Caenorhabditis elegans: one gene and its partners. The protein of the gene in region 1 interacts with the protein of each later gene in a pairwise test. Each region holds a gene or a part of one and is shown in the gene's direction. Other genes may lie near its edges.

What was found.
Region 2: the proteins of T11B7.1 (region 1) and stam-1 interact in a two-hybrid assay, tested with the Caenorhabditis elegans proteins (one large-scale study listed by BioGRID).
Region 3: the proteins of T11B7.1 (region 1) and B0393.4 interact in a two-hybrid assay, tested with the Caenorhabditis elegans proteins (one large-scale study listed by BioGRID).
Region 4: the proteins of T11B7.1 (region 1) and phm-2 interact in a two-hybrid assay, tested with the Caenorhabditis elegans proteins (one large-scale study listed by BioGRID).

What each region holds. Positions count from the first base shown.
Region 1 is NC_003282.8:8,838,884-8,843,315, forward strand, and holds T11B7.1 (Centrosomal protein of 162 kDa), read left to right. Parts: upstream 1-1,833; 5' UTR 1,834-1,841; coding exon 1,842-1,908; intron 1,909-2,190; coding exon 2,191-2,398; intron 2,399-2,447; coding exon 2,448-2,870; intron 2,871-2,988; coding exon 2,989-3,309; intron 3,310-3,370; coding exon 3,371-3,689; 3' UTR 3,690-3,922; downstream 3,923-4,432. Other genes in the region: T28C6.7 (Kinesin motor domain-containing protein), read left to right, coding at 32-549, 712-1,042, 1,257-1,289; T28C6.11 (uncharacterized protein), read right to left, coding at 780-1,000, 1,255-1,378.
Region 2 is NC_003279.8:5,901,554-5,906,433, reverse strand, and holds stam-1 (Signal transducing adapter molecule 1), read left to right. Parts: upstream 1-1,738; 5' UTR 1,739-1,794; coding exon 1,795-1,800; intron 1,801-2,106; coding exon 2,107-2,214; intron 2,215-2,396; coding exon 2,397-2,588; intron 2,589-2,790; coding exon 2,791-2,988; intron 2,989-3,041; coding exon 3,042-3,292; intron 3,293-3,456; coding exon 3,457-3,889; coding exon of another isoform or gene 3,890-3,919; intron 3,920-3,986; coding exon 3,987-4,172; 3' UTR 4,173-4,329; downstream 4,330-4,880. Other genes in the region: tyr-4 (ShKT domain-containing protein), read right to left, coding at 4,400-4,824, 4,878-4,880.
Region 3 is NC_003281.10:4,759,137-4,765,278, reverse strand, and holds B0393.4 (Maelstrom domain-containing protein), read left to right. Parts: upstream 1-1,669; 5' UTR 1,670-1,750; coding exon 1,751-1,777; exon of another isoform or gene 1,778-1,825; coding exon 1,826-2,033; intron 2,034-2,082; coding exon 2,083-2,406; intron 2,407-2,555; coding exon 2,556-2,926; intron 2,927-3,123; coding exon 3,124-3,527; intron 3,528-3,658; coding exon 3,659-4,151; intron 4,152-4,352; coding exon 4,353-4,602; intron 4,603-5,092; coding exon 5,093-5,229; intron 5,230-5,278; coding exon 5,279-5,476; 3' UTR 5,477-5,599; downstream 5,600-6,142. Other genes in the region: fbxl-2 (F-box domain-containing protein), read right to left, coding at 5,735-6,013, 6,061-6,142.
Region 4 is NC_003279.8:11,515,908-11,520,608, forward strand, and holds the start of phm-2 (Pharyngeal muscle protein 2), read left to right. Parts: upstream 1-1,650; 5' UTR 1,651-1,658; coding exon 1,659-1,712; intron 1,713-1,766; coding exon 1,767-1,835; intron 1,836-1,840; exon of another isoform or gene 1,841-1,939; coding exon of another isoform or gene 1,940-1,972; intron 1,973-2,639; coding exon of another isoform or gene 2,640-2,811; intron 2,812-3,165; coding exon of another isoform or gene 3,166-3,284; intron 3,285-3,559; coding exon of another isoform or gene 3,560-3,676; intron 3,677-4,066; exon of another isoform or gene 4,067-4,195; intron 4,196-4,360; coding exon of another isoform or gene 4,361-4,579; exon of another isoform or gene 4,580-4,701. Other genes in the region: abhd-11.1 (AB hydrolase-1 domain-containing protein), read left to right, coding at 627-940, 1,076-1,201; F32B4.5 (KCTD8/12/16 H1 domain-containing protein), read right to left, coding at 1,940-1,972, 2,640-2,811, 3,166-3,284, 3,560-3,676, 4,361-4,579.

The sequences.
Region 1 (4,432 bases):
TCTATATTACTGTAACTTGTTGTGTTTTCAGTTAACCGAAACAATTTCTGCTCTCCAATCAAAGTTGTATGACGTTCAATCAGAACTGGAAGATACCAAACAGAAGCTAGTCGAGGCTGAAAATTCGGCTTCAGGATGGAATGATGATGATGCGTGGAACAAAAATGAAAATGAAATTGAAGAAGTAAAGAAGGCATTGGAAATCGAGATTTCAAATAGGAATGATACTATTGTGAAACTTCAAAATCTTGTCTCTAATCTACGGCAACAGCTTATCGAGGCATCCGAATCGGCTGATCTGAAGTCTCTGGAAGAGTTGGAACAGTTAAAAGAAGAACTTCGCATTGTTTCGGAGCAGAATGGATTGCTTAAGGATTCGGAAGCTCGATTATTGGATCACGCTGACGAGTTCGCCGTTCAAATGGACAAGTATCGTGAGAAATGCGAAGTTCTGACAGCAAAAATTGCAGAACTGGAAGCACAACTTCAGAATCCTGCTGAAGAAGATCAACAGCAGAAGACATCAAACGTCGAGCTAGTCAAGCTGAGGTGAGTTAAATCTTTTTAACGTTTAAATGAATTGGTGTATAGAACGAAATTTTATTTTAAACTAAAGTATTTGATAGCATGTTCCGGACATGTGAAAATCGAAAAAATAAAGTAACACACAATCAGAAAATTAAATATAGATTTATATTAATATTATTTCAGACAACAACTTGCAAATGCTCAACAGGATATGCGAGTTCAAAATCTGACGATTTCTGATCGTGAAGGTCTTATCGCGGAGTATCGTCATCAAATTGCCGAGCAGACCAAGACAATTGAAGAACTTCACTTGAAACTAAAAACCTTCTCAGCGGCGGCTCGTCGAACTTCTCCACGAGTGCCAATGTCATCGAATGTACCAGCTCTCTCATCCCGCCCATCATCCAGAATGTCAACGTCGTCACGAATCTCAACCGCGTCTTCGTTTGTGCCAGAATCCGTGGCAGTACCACTACAATCAACTGGATCAGCGTTTGATGTCGTCGTACGACAGGTATAAATTTAGCTTTTCATATGATTTCCAGATGCCCAAAACCTAATTGATCACGTTTTCAAACTTAAATTCTTCTGAAAATGTTATCTATGTTACCTTCAAACATTTTTTATGGCGACATCTAAAATAGTGGTATTTCGAAAAAAAATCTCATTGTACATTCGGCCGATATCGGATGCGATACACAAAACCAAGTAATCAATATTACTTACAGAGTGGCGAGCCTCTTCGACGTCGTAACAAATAGATGAGATGACCCCTGTACGTTGCCCGTGGAGAGTGTGGTTCACTGTTTCTTCCAACACTACAAATCTCCAACATACCATTCATTTGCATTCGGTGTTTTCTCCCTCCCTCTTCTCGTTTTTAATCTTTTTTACTTTTATTCTAGGTCTGTCAGTTCTGTAGGATCCCTAATTAAGTAACTTTTCCTCAAGTATTTTTTAATGTATATTCGTAGATCTGCTAAACCTAAATTGAATCGATAATTTTTGGAAACCTTCTTTTCGAGTCGATAATATACATGAGCGTTCTGTTTTATAGTTTTCATCCAGATGACTTGCCCATACGTCATCGTCAAGAGATGACTGATTAATTTATTATTTTTTACATCCAAAGTGCCTTGATATCGGTAGCTAATCGAGTTTTTTGAAGGGTTTTCATTTGTTTTCTTGTTTATAATGCACGAATTGTATGGAAATGATTGTAGTTATGATATTATAAGATATGAATACGGTTTCATTTAACTTCTTTTTTTTAAATCTGTTTTAGTGCAAGGATTTTGGATTTTCAGAGAGTAATGTCAGGAATCAAACCAAGTGTTTCAAAAGGAGAAAGTCAAGCACCGCAAACAAGACAATTGGAAGGTAAACATTTTTGAAATCACAGTGTTTCATAACAGGAATGATATTATTTCTGACGTTTTTTTTTGTATAATTAATCGAAGCTGTCACATCGCCTCGCGCACGCGTGTATGATAGGTTCCATTCGCAATTTGTTCCTGGAAAATTACGGAGAATGAAAGAAAAAGTGTGACGTCATGCGGGTTTTTCTACTTGCGTTTTATGTATCCCGTCTGAAAATCTGAAACATCGATAGTCACGCAGTCCTCTGAATACTTTTCCTCGTGAATGTATATTAAATTTCAGCGTCTAAGCCTACAGTTCAAGGAATAATTGATATTCTTCATGATACCATAAGCTATGTCCAAGTTGAGAAACAAAGTAAAACTATTAATTTTTCCATTCCTCATTTGCAAATGATTAAAGAACAGCTTGAAAGTATTCAATTAAAAGATAAAAACTACAAGGATTTGGAAAAAAAGTTCAATGAAAAACAGGATGAACATTTGGAAACGTAAGTATACTGTTTTTTCGTAATTTTTGTAAGATTAAACTTGTTTCAGAATCCAGAAGTTAGATTCAACACTCAGCCGTCAGAAGCTTAAGTATGATGATATGAGACAGGCACTTTCTGTAAAAATCTATACACTCGAGAATGAATGTTCCAATTTGCAAGACAACTATGCTGACTTGCAAAATGATTTTGAAGTTCAAATTGAAAAATTCAAAAAACTTCAAAACTTGAAAAGTATTCAAAATCACGAGAATTCAAAAAATGTGAATCCTCTAACATTGGATGAGCTCACCGAACAGTTGAAACAATTCAAAGAAGAACTAAGTATTGATCAGAAACTGAAAAATATTCAGTTAACTTGTGAAGGACTACAGTCAGCTGTTGGAAATTTTGAAATGAATTCGAAAAAAGCTAAGGAAATTGAAATTCTTAAAATGGATATAAAGAAGACACAAGAGCTCTATGAATCAAGGTAACTATGTTTATCTGTATAGTCGACCGAAAACATAACATGCACTGCCATCGAGATATAGTAATCTGTTTGGCAGTGTAAGAACAAACATTTTATGTTTCGTAATTACTTTTTCCAGACTGCTCAGGGCTGCTCAAGAAAACAAGAAACTGCTCAGAAAAAACGATACATTGAAAAACTATCTTGATAATCAAACAGCGAAAATTGGAGAGCTCACAGCTGGAAACAAAACAGAGAATCGTTCACCAACTCCAACATTGCAGGGACTTATTGAAATTCTTCAAAAGTTTTCAGACGATCAAAAACTTGAACCAGAATGTAAGATGCTGCAGTTGCATAAAGAGGAGTGTCGTTTGATTTTGGAAAGTCTTGAAGTGCACGATAAGAAAGATCAAGAGATTCAGTGGTTCCAAAGACAAATTAACGATCAGAAAAAAAGGTAAGTTTTGACGAAACATTTATATTTTGTTGATCTTAAAAACACATAAAAATTATTACAGAATCGCTAATCTTGGTTGGTCATACGAAAATGCTCTTGAAGATAAGGATGCTCTAGAATTAAAGCTTGAACATCAATACGAGCAGATGATGGAATTGAAAAAGAATTTCATTCCGAAAAACGAAATTTCTGAGGATTTGGCGAAGACTGTCAGAAATTTTGGAAAACGTCTCAGAAATTCTCGAGGAAATTTGAAGAATGCGTTCAAAGAATTAGAAGCTTTAAAAGAAGTTCAAGAGGAAGAAGGCTCATCAGATGAAAGTTCTGAAAGCAGCGCTTCTGATGATTTACCAGATGGTGACAGCTCGTCAGAGGAATAGCATCGAATCAGAAAATTGAGATTTCATTGAAATTAAATGTACCTTCTTACAATGACTAATATTTTAAAAAATTTTAACTATTCACAAATCAACGATTTTCTTGTTATTCGCTCTACGATATATCATGATTTCCCATTTATCCGACTTTCTCTTTGTTTTCAAATTTTCTTGATTATTCTGATTAACTTTACACTGTTCCAACTGTTCTTGTTTCTGAAATAAAATCTTCCAATAAGTCCTTCCAAGAACCAAAGACAAACTTATGTATAAAAAATGTCACAATTATAACAGCTGCGGACGAGCCCGAACAGGTTGAAAGTCTTTCTCAACCTGTGGACAAATGACGGTCCAACAGCCGGTAATGGACCTAAGACGGCCTTCAGTTTGCCCGCTATAAAACCGTACGTATTAGCCAGCGGTGGGCCACTTTTCACTGTTGCCGCTTCAAATTTGTCATGGCTTGGAATGGATAGAAGATTGTTGAGACGATGGGTATATCAGATTTCTTATTCTGTTCGTAAAGTCTGGATCATTTTGAGATTATTCTGCGTCTAATGATACAATTATCTTATTTATGTTCCTCGAGGGTGTCATTTTTCCATGCTATCGATTTTTTAGACAATCATAAATGTTGTTAGGTTGACCGAAGGCGCTGGAAGATGATGAACATGCCCTAAATTTTTGACTTTTGACAAGCCAAAGTTTACATTTCTGTTCATTAGATCTTTGAAAGCAATTTGATT
Region 2 (4,880 bases), on another chromosome or scaffold:
TGACCAAATGACTAAATGTCATAATAAAATTGTCAAAAAATTTGGAAATTATGGAATTTTTCTTCGATTTTTTGACTTAATTATGTTTAAAATACTTATATTCCAACATTGTGGAGATTCAAACATGCGACAGTGATTTAGATTTTTCAAATTTGACTCGAAATAAAAAATTCCAAAATTTTTTGAAAATCTTTATAACGAGATTCGGTAATTTCAACAGCATATGAATAGTTTTTAATAATTTCCCCATTAGTCGTAGTCCACTTTTAACTTTAATTAATAATTAAAACCATTAAGGTTTAAAACCGAATTTCAAAAAAAAATTTCGATATAGAAGACTAAGAATAAAATATAACTTTAAAGAAAGAAGTTATGAAAGTTTTTGTGAGTAAAATGAGTACCAATGTGTATTTTGGGAGGCACGGGGTTGGTGATGAACATTATGTGTTGTATTACGCATGCCATAGACCAGTTTTGCGCGGATTGCATGATCAAGTCGATTGACTTTTCGTCTTTTTCGATTAAATTGATAACCGATCCAGAATAATACTTATATAATTTCATTGAATTACAAAATTCAAATGAGTTAGTAAAAAACTAGAACATTCAGTAAAATTTCAAAGCTATTTGCAAACCACAAACTTGAAATTTGAAAAAAATCAAACATGGAAACTCTAGACAGTGTACACAGGACAAATTACACTGATTAATCTATATCAACTCGCCAAGTTTACAAAATTTCGTCGAAAAACTGATAAGCACATGCAAAAATTCGTGTGAATTGGCTCTAGATAGAAAAATATGAATTGGCTCTAGATAGAAAAAATAACTAAATCGATAATGTTTCGTGTCGTTTTCGATGTATTTTTATGGCTCGCTATCGGCAGCAGCTACCGCTTGTGGCTGTTGTTGGGCCCCTTTTTGACGAATTAGGTGAAGAGAATCGAACGGAAATGAAAATTTATATGAACACAGAGTGGAAGAGTGGTGAGAGAGAGAGAAAAGAACGAAAAGCAGGTGGAATCAACAATGAAAGTGCAAACAATTGTGCTTATAAACAATTTGGATTTGGATTTTTTTTCAACAATTTTTAAAAATTCTATTACGATGAGAAGTAAGAAATATGAATGGAATAAATAGAAGTCTGAACAAATTTTTTTGAAAACGAAAAATTGAACATTTTGTTACGAAGCGTTTTCAGGTTCTAAAGTATTATTTTTTAGGAAAAAACATTAAAAACGTCCCAGTAATCTACTTTTAATAATTTTGAACTAATTATTGAGTAACATTTAGTTTTAAAAGTTTAGAAAAAGCATGGACACTGAAAATTAAAAAAAAACATGTTTAAACAGAGAAAAAAATTTGAAAGATTAAAGGAGCGCGCGATTTGTAGCATGAGGGTCTGCCACGAATTCTACAGTTGTTCAGATCATTTTTTTTGAATTATTCCACAATCTTTCTTCTCTTTGGAATTTAATTTTTCTCGAAAGTTATTTAATTTTTCTATAAAAATGTGCATTGCAGTTTTAAAATGTTTTTTTTTTCAATTAAACGCATGAATGTGATTGGTACACGCGTGAGACGCAAGTTCTCGAAAATCTGCGATTGCGAAAGGCAAAAGTATTCATTTTTTCGAAAAAATAAACAAATTGCTCAAACTAAATTGAATATCGATCGTCTTTGCCCTCAATATTTTAAATATCACGCTTTTGAAAATTATTTCGAAATAAATATTCAGTTTCAGTGAGACTCATTCAATTGAACCTGATCACGTGCTGAAAGTCTGCTGTAACAATGAAGGTTTGTTCGTTTTCCTATCTCTACTTTAATTAAAAATAGTGTTAAGAGTAATTGTTCATTCAAATAGATTTTTTTTCATTCAGTAAAAAATGATTAAGTTTTCGGAAAGGAAGAAAACAAAACAAAAACATAGAAAAAAGTGTGCACGAACGAACACACAAAGCATATGCGTCAGTGTCTTAACCCGTCTAATGTCTCTTCATCCCCCTACACTCTCTCTTTCAGTTCACCCGACTAACACATTCAACAAGCAAACCCGTTATTGATTCAATTTTCTTTCGTAATATTCCTTTTTTATATTTTCAGAAACAAAAGTCATTTCCAATGTCTGCTTATGAGGATTTGCTCGGAAAAATCACTGCTCCAACTATCACTGTTGAGAATTGGGAGGGAATTCTCGCATTTTGTGATATGGTTCGTTCAATTTGTTTTAAAAAATGTATAAACCTTTTCACTGATTTATAGATAGAATTCTTTGTCGTTTGATAAAAAATCATATTTTAAAATTAAAATTTCCTCCTTAAATTTGCTAGCTGATTTTCACCGAAAATCATTGATTTTGGACTAAACTTAATGTTTTAGTTTAAAATTTTCAGATTAATAACGACTTCGAGGGATCGAAAACAGGAATCAAATCACTTCGTAAACGTCTCAACAATCGTGATCCTCATGTTGTCCTTCTAGCGATTTCTGTACTTGATTCGTGTTGGGCAAACTGTGAAGAAAGATTCAGAAAGGAAGTATCGTCTGCACAATTTATCAATGAACTCAAAGCTCTTTGTACATCGGTGAGTTTTTGTTTAAATCTGAAATTGTTAAACAAAATATCAAAATTTCTTTCATGAAGTTTTGTATTTCTTTAATAGATATAGTATACGCAGAAAAGAGATAAAAAAGAGAAATAGAGTTAGAAAAATAAGTATAATACGAAAATACGATACATTTCACCGCGTTTACAAAAAAAAATACAAAAATTTACAATTATTATAGAGTCAACGCCAAGTTGCTGAAAAAATGCGATTAACTGTTCAAAAATGGGTGGATACAGAATGCAAAACTGAACAATCACTGTCACTTATCGTCACTCTTCACAAAAATCTTGTTGCTGATGGCTACTCATTTGTTGTGGATGATCCAAAAAGTAAAACGAAAGCGATTGATGCAAAGTTTGCAAATGATCCGAATTATGTGAGTTGTGGAAGTTCGCGGCAATAAATATCAAAAATTAATAATTATTATAGGTTGGATCTGCTCAGGAAGAAGAAGCAATCGCAAAAGCCATTGCTGCTTCATTGGCGGATGCAGAGAAACAGGAAAAAGCAAAAAAATCAACATCCACAATGTATCCATCAGCAAAAGCAAGTAGTCCAGCAGTTCAGACTAATTCGAATATTCCGGAAAAGAATGTTCGAGCGTTATACGATTTTGAGGCTGCTGAAAGCAATGAATTATCTTTTGTTGCTGGAGATATTATTACAATTACTGATGAAAGGTAAGCAACAAAAATGTGTTCTAGTTTAAATTGAAAGCAATCGCTTAAAAATCAAATCAGGAAGTTCTTCAGTTTTTTTTTTTGTAATTTAAAATTAATCATACCGAACCTTTTCGTTACTGACTGCTTCTATCAATTATCAAAAAAAAAACAATTTTTTGCAGCAATCCCCACTGGTGGACTGGTCGTATTGGTACCCAACAGGGACTTTTCCCATCCAGCTTCGTTACTAATCAACTCGATGATCTAAAATCAAAAGAGACGGATTCATCACAGAAAGCCCCAGAAGTTGTAGCCTCAATTAATGAAGCAATCCTTGTTCGTTGTCTTCAAGTACTCCATGAATGTGATCCTACCGGTGAACGACAGGATCCAGAGGATTTGGCCCAACTAGAAGCCGCCTCGTATGCTCAAGGAAATCTCATTGATGCACATTTGGCTAGTATTGATCGACAGAGCAACTCTCTAGCACAAATCGATGTGGCTATTCGTGATGTGCTCGCACTTTATGATGATGCGATTCAGAAGGGAGGATTTCAGCATCAAAGTCAAGGAATGTACCAACAACCAATGCAACAGTACAACTATCAGCAACCAGTCAGTTTTTATTCAGAAAAAAATATTTAGAAAACTGAAATTTTTCATTCTAAGCTTCACGGTAATGCCTATCAATTCAAAAAATCGTATTTTTCAGCCAAACCGAGCATATTACCCACCTACCGGTCCTGTCCAACAACAGCAGCCACAACAATATCCTCCACAACACTATCCGGCTCCTGGAGCACAACCACAGTACGCATGCCCACCGAATTCTGTTCCCCAACCTCAACAACAGCAACAACAATGGCCTGCTCCGTCTTCACAGCCTCAACAATATTAACTTTTTGATTTGTTGTGAATATCACCTTTTCCTCCTTGAATCTGTAACTAGTTCCATTGATATTGTGATCACTTCTAACTTATTTTTCTCGATTCGCCACCCGTTTCTGTATAGTCTTTTGCTTCCTCGAGTTCTCGATAAGATAAAAATGAATTCTTTATTGAGTTTGAGGCAAATATTTATTATACACGAAAATAATCGGATAAATTGAGAAAAGGTAACAAAAATTACAAGAGGTCCGGATCAAAAGATGGCATTGAAATTGATGCATTGGCTGCTCGAATGGATCGTTTACCCCATCCACCGCCTCCCCATCCACCTCCACCCCATCCACCTCTTCCACCACCCCATCTTGATCCTCCCCATGGATCATTGTTTCCCCATCCACCACCTCCATTTCCACCCCATCCTCCATTATCTCCGAAATCGTCACGTCCCCAACCTCCACGTGGTGGTTGACGAGATGGATTAGTCTGACGAACTTGTGCAACTGGAGCAACTGATCCAGCTGTAGTTCCACACATTCTACGAAGCTCTGATTGAGTATAGCAACTGTTACAGCTTGATCTACAATTCTCAGCCATCCATGGATTTTTCTGACATTCACCGACACGAGCCCATCCGGCACATGATCTATGGTAGTCGACGCATGCTGAAATATATATTTTTTAATTATAAAAATATTTTTTTAAAAATAAAGCTTACATC
Region 3 (6,142 bases), on another chromosome or scaffold:
CACCCTAAAACAATTAAAGTCTCCAGAAGACACCTTAAAAAAGTAGAAAAATGGGCTGAATTTTTCTGAACAGAACTTTCGGTGCTGGAGCATTGCAGCCTACAACTTCGCATATCTTCGCTGAGTAGTTTCGAATAAATTGGAATGGATCTGAAGGTAGAATGAAAACTATTCCATGTGCTAATTTGTTCTTCAAAAGTAACCATTGGGATTTCCCGATATAAACTGTCAACATTGTAAGTGCATTGAGTCACAAAATGTCCATATAGTCTCACTTTCTCCCGAGTGATGAATAATCATTCGTCGTTCTCTTCTCATTTCATTTTGCGTCCCGATTCGCATCCAATACATATATCTTTTGATGGATTCGTAATATATAACCTAACTGATATCTCATATCACTTTTGATATCAACAAGAATTTCATATCTGGCCAAAGAGGGGAATCTCGAATTGGGATGGGATTATAGTAAACTGGAAGGGCAAAGAAAAAACATTGGTTTGATTGGAATTTGAAGCAGGTGGAGGGTTGGAAATGTTGCAAAATGTAGATTTGAAAGGATCTCAATTGAATTAATGAGAGCACAGCAGGTGGGATAGACTCAACAGTTTGTGGAATTCAAGTGTTTCCGGATGTAATTTGATCAAAAGTGGGTTCTTTGGAACATTTTAAGAGTTTTCATGGGGAAAATTAAAGTTTCTTCGGAAAATTGTTTTTATTATTTTCTTGCTTTTTACTAATTAATTATTTTAAGCAGATACTTTTACGCAGATAACTCACCTTTCTAAAAATTCAAGTTTGCAAGTTATAATCACTTGTAATCAAAAAATCAAAAAATCAGAGAACTTAAGAAATGCCAATTTCAAAATTTTTGCAGAAGTTGGCAGAAAGGTTGTCGCGATTTGTCGAGCTGCTTCTAGGGAATTTTGGTATGGACTACAGTGAAGTGCCAACAATCAACCATTTGCAAGCAAAATTGTCTGCCTTTGAAACGACAGACGCCTACCTCGTGCCTACTTGTAAAGTCTAGGTTAGCCATTCTCCATTTTGGTATTTTCAAGTTTTACTTACTGAAATGAAAGCGACCGTTTGTAAGTCGCAGTACACAAAATCTAATGATGTATGAAAGACGAGGGATGAGTGCAATTCTACCTATTCTAACTTTTCTGAAATAAAAAATTTTTTTGAACGTTTTAGCACATGAAAAGCGAAATTTTCAGAACAACGCTTATATCTCGGGTAGCAAATTAAGGTAAATGAATTCGCCAATCTACTATTAAACATTTGCTACAAAATAAAAATATTAAAAATGTTTTCTGAAGTTAAAAAAATTTTGAACTTTTTTGAAGATGAAATTGAACTAGAACTATTCTGTTTTCTATTAAAGAAATGAAGTGTTACGAAAACGTTATTGAATTTTTTGTTTCTGGCTTGATTTCAGCTTCTAGGAAAGTTCCAAGGATACATGTTTAGTCAGGCACCTGCATACGATGTCTACTCCTATTCTTTTCAAACATGTTCACGTGATAAATTTACCGGAAATTGATAACTTTTTCCGTGGTCTTTTAAAATTTTAAAATTCAAGAACTCAACTTTTTATTTTGCCCGTGGCATCCCATAAACTTGACCCCGGAGACGTGGTAGATGACGTCATCACAATGTTGCTGTGAAGTTTGGAGCTTTCAGTCTGAAATCATAACAACAATATTCTCTGTTCACTGTTTCTGTTTTCAAAAAATCCGAAACAATCATGCGAAAACAAAATCGTCCCAATCAAGTAAGTTTCAGAAGATTCTATTCAGTTTACTCATAATCTATGTTTCAGACGGCTCGAAAACAGATGCAAAATTTGACAGTCGAACTATTTGCAAGAGACAAAAATGCTCGCCGTCAACTTCTCAATGTGGCCCTCACTGCTACCCCACCACCTTCCGTCGAACCATCTTCTCCAACTCGTCCATCGGAACCGATCCCGCCACCGCTCCCTGAACCAATTCCGGAGCTTGTACAAATTCTACTCGCTGCCGAACCCAGTAAGATTTTAGAGGTTACTTTCAGTTTCTAAAATGCAATCATTTTCAGACAAGCCTTCCGTTCCGAAAAGATCAAACCGTAAGAAGCTGACATACAAGCAACCGCCAAGAAACTCGACCCCCCAAGTGCCTAAAGTTGCCGTCACTTTGCCCGTTCCCGAGCCCGTTCCCGAGCCCGTTCCCGAGCCCGTCCCAGAGTCCACTCCAGAGCCCATCTCAGAGCCCCTGCCAGTAGTTCAAGAAGAGCCAGCTTCCGACAGTTTGACGGTTCAAGATGAACAAATCGCTCAGGCTGAACCAGCAGTGGAGCCGGAAGAGCCAGTCGTTGTTGAGCATGTCGAGGTTGTCACCGCCTCAGAGGACCCAACTCTAGGTAAGAAGCTTGAGAAAAAAATCTGCGAAATATTACAAATTTATTATTGATCCGCCAAAAAGATAATTAATTGATCTCCAAGTTCAAGTTCTTATTTTGGAGAAAACTATATGCTGACAGCTTGTTTTAACTGTACTTCTCGTTTACAGAGTCCTCTCCTCCATCCGAGCCTCCATTGCTCACGACTCCAACTACTCCAATCGAGGATCCCGAGCCATATGTGACTCCGCCACCGTTGCAACGTGTCCCGTATAAAGCTCAACTGACGCACCTTGCCAACATTCGTGCCGTCACCGAATCGATGAACATTGCTGCAATTCCAGCTCATCATCAACAACACCAACCGCAGGAGCCAATGTCGTTTGCTGCTTGTGTTCGAAAGCAACCATCGATTGAGAGCATGAGTGTTTCCCCGTCGCCGTATGCCAAGTTTGATGGAAAGACCAGTCCATTCAATGTTGGAGGATTCAGCAATCCTGGGGGATTCGGAGGATTCAGTAGACTAGATCCGAGCAAGAACGTAAGTTTACTGTGATCACTATAATTTACGATGTGTGCATAATGCTTCTATGAGCACATTGAACAAATTGTGACCGATTGAGAGTCGCGGTGTGCGCATTTTTCCTTCATTGCGTCTGCAAAGTTCCAGATGGGCACATCGTAAATTAACTGTTTCATAAAAGTTTGTGAACTATTTTAAATTATATTTATTTTCAGGTGAATCCATTCGCTAATCGTAAACGTTTCAACTACGATTATGATTCATTACCAAGAGATTCCCAATCATCTAGTCGCTTCATGGATCGTTCTGATCTTTCGGATGGCTTCTCCCCCTTCAACTCAAAGCCAAACGGATTCACAAATCGTGTAATTCCTCGGGAGAGTGCCAGCTCAGGAATGCTTCCAAGTTGGTACAAGGGTAGATCATTCTCTGCTGCTAGCTCCCACTACCCATACAGCCAAAGATCTACTTCAACTGGACATTTCTCGTCATTCTCCAGACCATCTCAAAGCACTTCAATGAATATTCCATCTCATGGACATGTTGAGGAGCTCGATGGATTTCTTGCCGCCAGTGGCCAAACCAATCCTTTCTTCAAGAGAACGGACTTGAACATGAAGTAGGTCGACTCTTCAACTCGAATTAAACTTTTTAATTGTTTTTATGGCCATGTTTTGCCATTTTAATGAAGTTTTGTTATTAAAAAAAAAGTGTTTTTGATTCGAAATTGTGATTTTTGTCATTTTTCAGAAAAGAAAGATGGGCTAAAATAAAGGCTAAAAAGCGTATGTTGAGACGACCAGTTGAGGATCAATTTTATGAAGATCCGGATATTGAGGAGGAGATTCTTCATGGAAATGGAGTTATGCTCAATCAAATTGTTCAACAAAGTTCTGCTGGTAACTATGAAGACGCTGATCTACTTCGCAAATATCGTCGTGACGTGGCATTTGTTAAGGAACGAGTTCTCAATGCAATCGATGGTAATATTGATGGAATTCGTGATTTGAGATTCTTGTTAGCTTCTGTACAAACATATGGAAATATTGATGGAGAATGCATGTTGGCTGAAATGGCGATGAACGAGTTTTCATTATTCTCTGGAATTGTTGAAAAGTTTCATGCAATTGTTGGACCATGGATGCCTGAAAGTGAATCACATAGAAGACGCGCTTCTAGACATGCATTGGAGACTCATCGTATTCCACTTCAGAACAATTTTGCTACGATCACCAAGAAAAGGGTATAGTTTTTGAAAACATTTTCGGCTTGCAATTATTGTCTCGTAAAATACGAAAAAGTTTTGATTTGGGTCTCGCGATGACCGGGAATTACTTCATCTTAGTGCGCGCCTCTTTAACGAGTACGGTAGTTTTTGCGCTTGTTGTTCCTCAATTTAGTATAATTTTATTTTAACACACGTTCAAAACAAATAAAATTTCAGTTGGTGGAAGAAATTCTGGGACGTGTGGAGCCAAGTATCGCATGCCACCAGGGTGTCAAAGTTGGTTTGTACAGTGATGCGTGCAATGAAAAGACAAAAATTGATTTGAACATCAAGAACAACTTCAAGGATCCAGGAATGTTGTGTGATAAAAATGATCGTCGATTCATTCTTGTTCTTCAATCTGAACTTGATTTGATGGTGGACAGCATGAAGCATTTGGCAAATAATGTTGGATTTCATTATGATGGTAAATACCGTATATCTTCTATTAACATGGCCTCCCTATTAGACTTGCACTCCCTATTAGTATTGCCCCTCGGAGACCTTCCGAAAATTAGTATTGCACTCCCTATTATTCTTGCACTCTCTAATAGTCTTGCGTTAACTTTTTTGTATTGCAAACCCGTCTCGCTAATTTCAGGATTTCAACAACATTTTTTGCCTATTTTGCAACAGTTTTCACATCATTTCTACGAGATTGAAGTTTTTGAACTTATATGAAAATCAAATTTTCTGAATTTTTAAATATGATTCGAGCTTTTTCAGGAAAAAACTAGTAAGCTCAAAGTCAGAAAATGTTCTGAAAATTAGTATTGCACTCCCTAATAGTCTTGCACTCCCTATTAGTATTGCAAGCGGGAAGACCATCGAAAAATAGTATTGCAGCCATATTAATAGAAGAAATACGGTAATATACTTTATTGCACTTGACATGTAAAAATATGTACCATTTTCAGGTTTTCCAGTCACTCCCAACTGTTTTGTGATTGTTGAAGCATTCGTGGAAGCTATTTCTGACATTATGAATGAGAAAATTGACGTAGAAACCATGCGTTGGTTCAGTCTGCTCGGACAAAAAGTTGATGCAGAAGACGTAAGGATTTAATGAACTTCCATTGTTTTTTTTTACTTTATTTATTCAGAGTGTTTCTCCATGGGAAACTGGCACCGATTTCCATTGTGCTCGTCATTCGGAGCCAAAGAGCAATTTCTGTGCTTCGGTTACTGTAGGAAGAACGTGTTGCATCGTTTATCATGTCATTGGAAGTTTCTTCCGACGTTACCATCTCAAGAAGATTCCGACTGCACATCAACCGTCTAGCTCCAACTCGGTACAATAATATTTCGTAATTATAATTCCCCCTTTTTTGTGTTTTAATTGTTTCAATGAACGTTTTTCGTAATACGGCTATTTAATGTGAAACATTTATGATTAGTTCGCAAATAAAAAAATGAGATGATTATTAATTGGAAGAACACGTGTTTATCATTAGGCACGTTAAAAAATATTAGTTTAACACTTCACCTGAATAGGCATTTTCTAGATAAATAACATACAATAATGAGAACGTAGAAAATAACTGAAATGGGTTTCGCAATCATCCAAGTGGTGGGAAATCATCGTCTGTGAATGATGGTCCTTGTGGAACAACTGGCTTTTGAATATTTCCTGATCGTCTTTGTTGAACTCGTTCCTTTTGTGCTTGCCGTTTTGGTCGGCTCGGACGAGAATGCTTCAAAATTTTATCGGATCCTTTTTCTTTTGGTGGTCCTGGTGCTCCTGCTGATCCGACTGTGATGCTATTTTCAAAGTCGGTATAAGAAGGTTGGAAGACATTTGACATTCCATATGGGTCATAATTCAACCAATCAGCATTCTAAAATAAACGAATTGAAAAATCATTTTTGATTAAATAAAACTCACTTGGAAAGGTGGCTGAATCTCCATTAACATGCGAGCGAGCTCTTCTTGCTCTTTTTCAGACAATACAGCTAGAGGACCAGGG
Region 4 (4,701 bases), on another chromosome or scaffold:
TTGCCGAAAAGTTTCAATTTTGGCAGTTGCCGATTTGCCAAAAAGTTTCAATTTTGGCATTTGCCGATTTGCCGGAAATTTTGAAATCAGGCAATTTGCCGATTTACCGATAGGCCGAGCATTTTCAAATCCGGCAATTTGCCGATTTGCCGGAAATTTCAACTCCGGCAGTTTGCCGATTTGTCGGAAATTCTATTTTCGGCAATTCTCCAATTTTCCGATAAGTTTCAATTTTGGCAATTGCCGATTTGTCCATTTGCCGGAAATTGTCCAATCCGGCAATTTGCCGATTTTCCGGAAATTTCAATTTCGGCAGTTTGCCGATTTGCCAAAAAGTTTCAATTTTGGCAATTGTCGAATTGCCGGAAATTTTGAAATCAGGCAACTTGCCGGAAATTTTCAATTCCGGCAATTTTCAATTCACGCAGTTTGCCGATTTGCCAAAAAGATTCAATTTTGGCAATTGTCGATTTGCCGGAAATTTTGAAATCAGGCAATTCGCCGATTTACCGATAGGCCGAGCATTTTCAAATCCGGCAATTTGCCGATTTGCCGGAAATTTCCACTCCGGCAGTTTGCCGATTTGCCGGAAATCAATTCGAAATACAACTCCCCAATTATTCCAGAATACCTCGAATGTATCAAACAAATGATCGCCACTGATATGAACAAATCGCGAAGCGAAGTGATGGCGGAGCTCGGCGAAAAAGTGTCAAAGGTGCTGCTCTACCAATTTGTGCGCGGAAATTTGGGTGAAGATGTGAACGGAAAAGCTCATTGGATATGCAATCTGAATGTTATCGATGAGACATACATTTATCTGCTCAGCCACGACATTCGGTTCGGAGTTTTCGATGGTCCGACTCTGTTCCAGCGGGCTCCTGGCTCGGGATTCCTTCCGGCGGCTCATAAGAATCGAGTAGAGAAAATGTTCCCAATGGTAAGGAAATATAAGGTTTTCGACTAGTTTGATCTTTAAAAATGGCGGGAAAATAATCTAGAAGGGTGTGAAGACAAGCAATAGGCTAAAAATCGATAAATTTTGAAAAATAAGCTCAAAAATTCAAATTCACAGGTGCAATTCGCCGAAACTGCCTGGTCGAACCACTGGATTCATGCTGATGACCCGAAATTCTTTGTCGACTCGATTTGCGAGTTCCTGGAGGAACCTGATCAGCTTGGAATGAGAGCTTACATTTAAATTATGAAATTTGACATGGAATTCCAGCAGTTTTAGCAGTTTTTCCTCAATTTATTCGATAAATTTCTTGAATTTTACATAATTCGTTTATAATAAATGGGTTTTCTCTTATTATTCGTTTGAAAAATTGCGTTTTTGGCCTGCAAAAATATTCTAATTTGAATCTCCCTCGCTTTTCACGAAACGCGCCAACCAGTGGTTGCTGGCGCGTTTCTCGTGAGCTTGCGCGAACGCTGCGCATTTCTTTTTTTCTCATTTCTCATCTTTTCTGCGTAAAATTATCCAATTTTTCTCTTTTTTTTTAAATTTTTCACGCCAAATTAAGAATTTGCTTACGTGGCAATCGTTTGAACCGCCTAAAAAAAAGCCCGTTATTTTCGTCGAAAATCATGTTGTCGCCGAGTTGGTGTTTTATCGATTTTTTTCCACCGAAAATTTTCGATTTTCAGAGCAAAATATGCCGTTGGAAAGCGGAAAATTGATCAATGACTTGCGTGTTAGTGAATTGAAGGTAAGTGAATCATTTTTTCCACTGGAAATTCCCTATAAAATGCACTTTTTGCAGACAGAGCTCGAGAAGCGTGGTTTGAGTACTCAAGGAGTCAAGGTTGTGCTCACTGTTCGTTTGAATAAGGTAAAAATGTGTGATGTATTTATTTATCGTCGAATCTCCTGTCAAAATTGAAAAATTACAAAAAAAAACAATTTATTTGAAAAATGCAATAAAAGTCCACGTTGCTAGTTGCTACCAGTGTCCGATGGAGGGCAAAGCTGCAAAAAAATCGATATATAAATTCGGTTTCCCACCAATTGAAAGCGATACTTCTCGAATTTCCGGCCCAACTTTCCCGGAAAAAAGAAAAAGGGCTCCCCTCCCCCCATAAATTGTGCATTCTATTCACCACTTGTGTGATCAAATTAGCGTCTCAAAATGCATAGAAAAAGGGCGCTGGCTAATGAGATGAACGGAACTTGAAGAAGAATTGGCTGCTTTTTTTCCGGCGAAAATCCATTTCCAACGGCTCAGACATTTTCGAGCTCCCCTTGTGAGCACACACGTTCCGGTGGAAGAGCACGTAAAAGCGGGGGGAAAAGAAGATGAAGCCGCCCGTGATTTGATTTGAAGGGAAAATTGGAAGAAGAAGAAGAAGGAAAAAGCTTTTAAGCGGATAGAGACAAAGTTCCCTTTTGTTCACCTCACCAACTTCCGGGAAAAGTGGCGTTACTGGACGAATTGTGGGGGTTTCTACAAGCTAATGCAATGAAAATGACGAATTTTGAAGGAAAAATCAACTAATTTGATGTTAGCAGGGAAATTTTCCGACGTTTAGTGTTTTTTTTTTCACAAAAAAAATGATTTCCTAACATCAAATTAGACCAATTTCAATTCAAAATTCGATATTCTCAGCTCTAACTTTTTTCATCGTCAATTTCCTACCTTTGGCTGTCGATGGAAAACAAATTGAGAATGATGAATAAATTGCGAGTCATCTTTCGCCGCATGTTTTGGCATCTCGGACGGCGCAAATGTGTTGGAATGAATAAGTCGGTAGCCGGAAGACGCGAGTTGGTCGAACGCTTTCTCTAAGTTGCTGTGTTTTAGGAAGAATCTGGAAAGAGAGGATTGGGTTGAAGCTTTGAAATCTGGTTAACTTGTCATTTGGTAGTGCTGAAATACCAATCGTTCTGCTCAAATATTATGTTTCAAAAAGAGCTTATGAGCTCTTCTTGTGAAACTGTCGATTTCCGCTAGTGTACTCCCCCGTGTGGTGTGATCTACAAAAAATGCGGATATTTTTCCCCAAAAAAATTTCACGTCAGCACGCATTTTTTGTAGATCAAACGGAGACGGAACATTTTTTAATGGTTCAGAAATCAGCTATTATAGCTAGAAACTGTAAATTTCGCGTAAATCTACATGACGGGTTTTCAGTATTTCTGGCCGCGAAAAAGCCTGTCTCTACCTAGAAGTGTAGCGATCCATCTCGAAATCCGTGCCTCCTCCGTCTCTACACTCGTTCAACGAATCGCCGAACACTGCTCGGCACATGATTACTTTTCCGGATACGACGATTCGTAGAACCTGAAAATATCCTTTTTCTCGACGTCAAAAATGATGAGCATTTGTCTGTGTGTGTCTCTCTTCTCTTAACATACATATTCCCCTATTGCTGTATTCATAAGCAATAATAGGGGAAAATTGATGGGAGAAAACCGCAAGAGAAATGAACAGAAAAAAGGAAAAAAAAACGAGAGCAGGAAAAATGGGCTTGTTGTTGTTCCCTTTACTGGTTCGGGATTTGATGACGCGAAAGCTTTTCCTGTTGTTTTTTGAGCCATAAAATGGATATTGTGTACCTTTCGAAACGTGACTTCTGGATTGATACGTCCGGTTGAGAGAGCCGCATGACAAGAGATGCTAATGGTTGACGGGCAGGCGGCCTCCACAAATGAAATGAGCCCAAGACGTTTGGCCTGGAATAAAGAGCAGCGATTCTTGGTTTCGGTGCATTTCCTGCTTTATCGTGAACACACGTGATGCCAGGCTGTCCCATCACGGTTTGATCTACAAAAAATGCGGGAATTTGTTGTCCAAAAATATGTGGCATCAGCACGTTCTTAACCATACGAAATCAGTTGAGAATTCTGTGTCTCTTCTCCCGCATTTTTTGTAGATCTATGTAGATCAATCCCATATGAGACACTCTGACACCACGCGTGAACGTTCAATTTTCCCACGGCAAGATTATGCCAAGATCTTATTCTGCGTTCAAGGATGATCGAATTCACTACCAGAAAGCTTAATAGTGTGTTCCCCAAGTAAACGATAATTTTTTTTTGAAATTTTGTCCTAAAATATCCAAAATAGGAGTTTTGAGACAATTTTGAGCATTTTTGAGCATTCTAGCTCCCATTTTCGCCAATCAATCTGGTAATTGAGCTTAGGGGGAATTTTTATGCTGGGGAACGAAAAGCTAAATTATGCATTTCCACGGTGAAATGCTCATTATCCTAATTGAGCTCCATCTAGAAATGACAGAATTATGGGATTTTTTTAAATCTCGTATAGCTCTTTCTCATTTCGGAATCCATAAATCCAAAGCAGCCGAGCTCTTACAAAAAGCTTCCATTAACTGCTCGCGGAGCCCATAGACTCACCTCAACGGCCAATCGGGCCCACTGATCGAAAGATTCGGAGACGATAATGCTCATGTCACTGCGACGAAGCGCCTCGACGAGGATCCGCACAATCTTGTCATCTGAATCAGACGTTGCGTCGGGCGAAGTGGCGAGCAACGATTGTGGAGCACGTTGAAGTGTGGCACGAGTCGTTGAAATTGTTGCTCCGTGAGCACAAATAATTTGTGCAACTTGCATGTATGTGTGTGTGCGTTCACTTCTTCGTTTATCTCTAGTGTTTGTTAGCAGAAAGAAAGAAGAAGAATAGGAGGCAAAAGAGGACGTCAAAGACTCTTCAGAAGACTGAAGAAAACCCGCAA